Linked DNA regions of Tribolium castaneum. Each later gene encodes a partner of the first gene's protein in a complex. Links are inferred from orthologs where the notes say so. Each region holds a gene or a part of one and is shown on either strand. Other genes may lie near its edges.

Region 1 (2,946 bases):
CGAACGCTGAGGCTAGCCAATCATTAACGCCCCCTTCGACACAATCCCAGCTCGTATGGGGCGAGTAAACCGCAATTTCATGTCTAATACATTGGATTACGATTCGTTCTTTCCAAGTCCTGTGACAAAACGATTAGTTTTGATTGGCTGTGTAATTTGGGGCGTACTTGTCAGAGACTGTTTTAAGGCCTTGAAAGATATTAGGGTGATAGGAGATAATGAGCCCCGCTTGGAAGTTTTTAGCTTCATTGACCACATCCTCAGTGAGGTCGTTTGTTAATAGAATTGTTTTGACCTGTTTGTCGGTCATTGGGTCCACCAGGAGCCCCACATTGTCCCAGCTCTCGGCAAGGGTCAAGGGGGCGTAGGATTGTAAAGTTTTGACGATTTCTTTGACCGACATTTGGGGGCCCGTGCTGTAGTAATTTTTAATCCGACTTAGGGCCGCCAACCGTCTTATTAACATCTGTGGAACGAAAAAGTAATCTCAATGGATGGGCGACAGTAGGCTGTGACGTTCAATTGTAAACAATTGACATAAACAGCCGCCTATCCATCAAAGAAAAACAAAGGAACGTCAAACAATTTTATTCAGGGATAAATTTCCACAATTTAATTTCCCCGTCGTCGCTGCACGACACTAAAATATCACTAAGAAGGGGGTTCCAGGCGACGCAGTTGACATCCTGGGCGTGCGCCCTCTCAATGCAGGTGACTTGGCTAAACGTGGGGGCCTCTAAGTCGCCCCCTTCCTCCTCTTTAAAAATTCTGATAGCGTCGTCACCGCAAGCGGTGGCGATCAAGTCACTTGAGTGGTTCCAAGACACGTCATAGATGGTTCTGTTGTGGTACCCCGACATGGTACACACACATTTCCACGTTTCCTCCGTATTTTGGCCCTTTTGCCAGATTTTCAACGTGGCGTCGTCGCTACACGACACAATCCTTGTCCCCGTTTTGTCCCAACTTATGCTCCAAACCGTTGACTCGTGCCCCTGTAAGGTGGCAAAACAAACCCAGTCGTTGTCTGACTGGTCCTCTTTGAACAACTTAACCGTGTTGTCGTAGGAGGCCGAGGCGAGGATATCGTCATGTGGGTGCCACACGACCTGCAACAACCTCCATAACAACAAAAATCGCCCCCTTGCTACCTACTTTCTTCACATCCTGTGTGTGCGCACTCAACACGGCCGCGCAATCATACTCATCCTCCTCGGCAATCTCCCAAATCCAAACCGACTTGTCACGGCTACAAGTGGCCAAAAATCGCCCCGACTTCGACCAGGAAACACTCTTAACCTCATTTTCGTGCCCCTCAAGAGTGGCATTGCACTCGAACTCGCCCGATTTCTTGTCCCAAATGCACGTAGTGGTGTCAAAGGAGGCCGAGGCGAGGTAATTGCCACAGGGGGACCACGCAATTTCCCGAATTGTGCGTTTGTGGCCATCGGTTAGAATTACTTTATTCGACCACTTCGAGTCCGAGTCTTTCGACCAGATTCGGATGGTCTTGTCTTCGCCACACGAGGCGAACGTTTGCCCCTTCGGGTGCCAACTCACGTCCCAAACGCGCCCCGTGTGCTTGCATAAAGTTTGAAGGGGCTCAAGCTTTGACATTTTGGGGTTAGGGTCGCGAACAACGACAGGGTGGTTAAAAAGTGGTCTCGGGGGACGCACGACGTGCCAAAAGGGGGCAAATGTACTTAAGGGGCTTACCAATGCCACAAAACGTGAAAAAATGGGTGATTTTATTACGTTTTTGCTTCGTTGAGTTGGCCGCACTGTCATTCAATGCAGCCAACGCATGATTATTATTGCGTTTTTTTGCAATTATTTACCAATAAAATTGCGTACTTAAGTGCAAAATCAATTATGTTTCTTCTAAATTAATTGTTCGCTTAATTTTGAATTTTTTTTTCGTGGTTGAATGTGCGATTTTTGTTTTTTTTTGCCGTCGGTGTGGCCAGCCTCATTTGACGTTTACATTTTTTGTGCCGTGAATCACAATCAACTTTGTTTATCAAAACAATCGGTTTTGTGGGTGTTTTGGGGCCTCTTGGCACTGTTGGGTTGATCGGACTCGCCCCCGCCCCCACAACCCATCATTACGATGAACCATGTTACAGTTTTGGAGGAAATCAAAAGGTGCGTAATTTCGTAATTGATGTTTGGGTTTTCCTAATTAGTGTTTCCAAAGCCGGCAATGACACGAAATGCGCAGCCCCAGCGGTGACGCCGCGGCCCCGGCCCCCGAAGCCGCCCCCTCTGGACCTCGATATCGGTGAGTACGAAATTGTAGAAATTGGGGTTATTGTGTCTTAAAGATGAGTTTGAGGCAACGAGGTCACGGCTATGTCGGACCTTGGACGAGGTTTTGGGCGATAAGGGGGCTCTGGGCTACTTTACCCAGTTTATGGAGGCGCGAAACGCCGCCAAATTTATCAATTGTTGGGGGGACATTGAGTCGTTTAAGTGTGAGATAAGTACGGATTGCGACTCCAGTGACACCCAAAATTCGAGTGATTCGTGTGAATCTAGTCTAGTTGAGGGCGCTGTTGCGATTTTTAAAAAGTACATAGCTCAGGAGTCCGCTCACAATGTTAAATGCCCCGAGTCAGTTCGTAACGAACTCGTTGAAAACATTTGTGACTTGGAGAAAATCGCCAGTTGTTTGGACCCCGTTCAGAGTTTCGTTACCGAAGTCATGGAGAAGGAGTATTTTGAGGCGTTTTTAGCCAGCGATTATTTCTGCAAATACCAGATCGATGTTTTGACGAGTGGCCAAGTGGCCCTTGACGATATTCTCTACAACGAAACGGCGCTTTTCTACTTTATGGAGTTTCTCGAACAGGAGAATTCGTGCAATTTGTTGGAGTTCTGGATCGCTGCCACCAACTTGCAGCAACATTTGACCAATCAAAAGGAGTTTTTTGACCCAATTGAGGC
Region 2 (2,905 bases), on another chromosome or scaffold:
TTGAGACTGCTAATTAGGATTTTTTATCAGATTTTTAATTGTACTTGTTATTTGAGGCGTTATTAGTATGTCTCCTTTTTTGTTATTTTTGTACAAAATTGTGCCGTTCCTTCAATTTGTGTCTAACCTCGTGGCTTTTCTATGTTTAGGTTACAAAAGGCAAAGACTGCTACAACTGGACACTGATAATAACATTAACATTTCAAACCAAAATTATGAAATTTTGGCGAGTGAAGCAACAAATAATTGCTTGATTGAGCTTTTGGAAACAAGTGTTTTTAAAGAAAATTTTAACATTTAAGCGAAAATTTGGCGGTTATAGTATTATTTATTTATAAAGCCGATTGAAAATAGCAATAAGGACGTTTAGAAAATTTATAGAAACGGCACGAGGATTAGATTTGTTTGCAACCTAACCTTTTCTGTAATGTCTAAGTGACTTCCTTATGATTTTTAGGTGTAATTTGTAAATTATCAAATCAAGATGGTGCATAATAGAGATAGGGATGAGACAAGATATTTATATTTTACTTATGTATTTTTTCTATTCTGAAATAAACCCAAGTGTGATATCTGTTACTCATGTTTTGTGAAACCCCCAAATAGATTTTTTATTAATCACAAAACAGCGATGAGACGCTGTTTCAAAAATAGAATGAGTCTTGAAAAAAAATATGCGAAATGCTGCGTCACCGTGATTTTCAACAGTGAAACATCGAAACCAGGAAACATTTTTGGGAAATTTTCCAGAACAATTTTCTGAGAGCTTGAAGCTAGAGTCTCATTTTGTACTGAAAGGAGCAAGGAAAAACTTTATAAATACGATATAATATGTAATTCTAATAAAATAGTAAATAACATTTCGGCTTAAATACCTGGATACAAAGTTCAGTCTTCTTCAACAATACAGTTTTCTACCATTTCCCGCAAGTTTGGATTTTCCATTGCGGCTGCTATTCTCTCTTTATCGTTAATTTGCTTATTGACTAAAAAAAGATGTTATTGACGAAATGCCTTTAAACTTGACCTACTTTCGTGTTCAGTTGTGTGGGCTCCTGCCTTGATATAAATATCTAATTTAATCCTATAAGGAATACATCTTTCTAATTTTATCCTAATACACAATCCAATTAGCGTTGCTAAAGAACAGTGGGGCACAGTGGGATTAAATTCAACCCTCACAACGCTAACATTGCCAGAAGTACGTTCCTTAACCTCAAATACCATAAACTCAGCAATTTATCAAAAAAAAAGGAACAAATCACCTCAACTCCCTCCTCATAAACTACGTTTAATTCTTCCAAAGTGTTGGGTTTCTCTGGGTCCTTTATAGTGCGAATTAAATCTAAAACAACCCCTAAATTAAATTTTTACTAAAATCAGGCTCAAGCACTCACCATAAACTGTATATTTCAATTCACTATCATCTTCACTCACCTCCTTGACTTCCTTGCGTGGACTATCTGTTTTTTTCCGGAAAAATGATAAAAACATTATGTAATTTTTACAAATAACTCATGTAACGAGTAATGGTAATTGATCAGCTGTTCTAACCTTCAAATTCCACCAGCTCCAGAAGGTCAGGCATTTTGTGCTTATTTGGAAAACTGTTAAAGGAAGTTAAAAAAATTCAAGGCTTTTGTTGAGAAAATTGTCCGGCGTCGTGTGAGGTCATTTTGTTACTGATTGCCAGATTTAAAAATTATCTCAAGTTGAAGCTCTTGTAATGATAACCCAAGTTCGAAAGGTTTTGATTGTGCACGTAATAGTTAATTGTTGTGGGTTGTGGGGCTTTCATTTCCGAACAGAATTCTATAATTAGGTGAATCCATATAAAGCAATGACTTGCAGAAATTTTAAAGGTGTTGTGACACCAAATTGGCAATATACTCGTATTTTATAAATACACATAAATAAATTAAATATAATAGTATTTTTTAATTTTTTAATTTAATTATTCATCACAAGTTTTTTGGAATAAGAAAAATACCTCAATGGAAATTTACCGTAACAGATTGAGTCGACATTTTAATTGTTGATTAATATTAGTTGGTTACAAGAATATTTTTGTGTTGATGATACCTGAGATCGTACCCATATGATTATTATAAATAAAAAATATTTATAAGTTCACAATAATAAGTGTCTTTCAGTTCAATTCAATTTGTAGATTTGGTTGCCTAAACTCTCCTAATGGAATCCTTTCGAATCTAAAGTGGTTGTTGCAGGACGATTCACGGGGAATGATAAGCGTGTCCATATTCTCAATGTAACTTTTATTACCTTTCGCAACTTTGCAAATCTTTTATTAAAATTACAATTTTATGCATGAGTCCTATTATTTTCAGTCTTATTTTTCAATAAAGGCTACAAATTTACTACAGACTGTGCATAGTAAACAATTTGGAAATTTTACTAGTAGTACTAGGCCCAGTACTAGGTGATACTACTCTAAAATTGGAACAACAAAATAATCAAAAAGTAACAGTGATTGTGCTAGAAAATTGAACAAATAGCCCGGCGCATCCACCATTTTTGAACTATTTTCTACCGGGTGATTCCAAAATTCTACGAGGTCTGTGTCTGTAAAATATAACTTTGAATACACATTCTAGTAAAAACTTGAGACTAGATAAACTGGATTGTCAAGTAAATGGCAAAGATCGTGTCCACTTTATTTCTTGTTAGAAAATATGTTACTGATTTGTTGCTGCGTTGTTTGTGTGTGTATATTTGACGATATATCTCATGAAATCTTATTATTGCTTGTGTCTGGTTTGATTGTAGTATTAATTTGAAACTCTGGTGAGCATCAGATAACGCGAAATACTCATACTTTTTCACAAGTTTAAAATGACTCAGCATTATTATACGTTTTCATTTAGTTAGATGTGTGGTACTTATG

The links. The genes of interacting proteins can lie anywhere in the genome.
Region 2: Ciao1 (region 1) and galla-1 share a complex: the UniProt entries of both Homo sapiens proteins name them as parts of the CIA complex. The link is inferred for Tribolium castaneum from reciprocal best matches to the Homo sapiens genes CIAO1 and CIAO2A.

The regions. Positions count from the first base shown.
Region 1 is NC_087395.1:25,661,373-25,664,318, forward strand, and holds Ciao1 (probable cytosolic iron-sulfur protein assembly protein Ciao1), read right to left. Parts: upstream 1,935-2,946; 5' UTR 1,789-1,934; coding exon 1,156-1,788; intron 1,110-1,155; coding exon 588-1,109; 3' UTR 574-587; downstream 1-573. Other genes in the region: pkaap (A-kinase anchor protein 10, mitochondrial), read left to right, coding at 2,118-2,145, 2,198-2,281, 2,325-2,946. UniProt on the Homo sapiens protein: Key component of the cytosolic iron-sulfur protein assembly (CIA) complex, a multiprotein complex that mediates the incorporation of iron-sulfur cluster into extramitochondrial Fe/S proteins.
Region 2 is NC_087396.1:14,611,767-14,614,671, reverse strand, and holds galla-1 (MIP18 family protein galla-1), read right to left. Parts: upstream 1,734-2,905; 5' UTR 1,589-1,733; coding exon 1,555-1,588; intron 1,464-1,554; coding exon 1,398-1,463; intron 1,346-1,397; coding exon 1,266-1,345; intron 1,216-1,265; coding exon 1,032-1,215; intron 987-1,031; coding exon 889-986; 3' UTR 876-888; exon of another isoform or gene 821-875; intron 792-820; 3' UTR 508-791; downstream 1-507. UniProt on the Homo sapiens protein: Component of the cytosolic iron-sulfur protein assembly (CIA) complex, a multiprotein complex that mediates the incorporation of iron-sulfur cluster into extramitochondrial Fe/S proteins.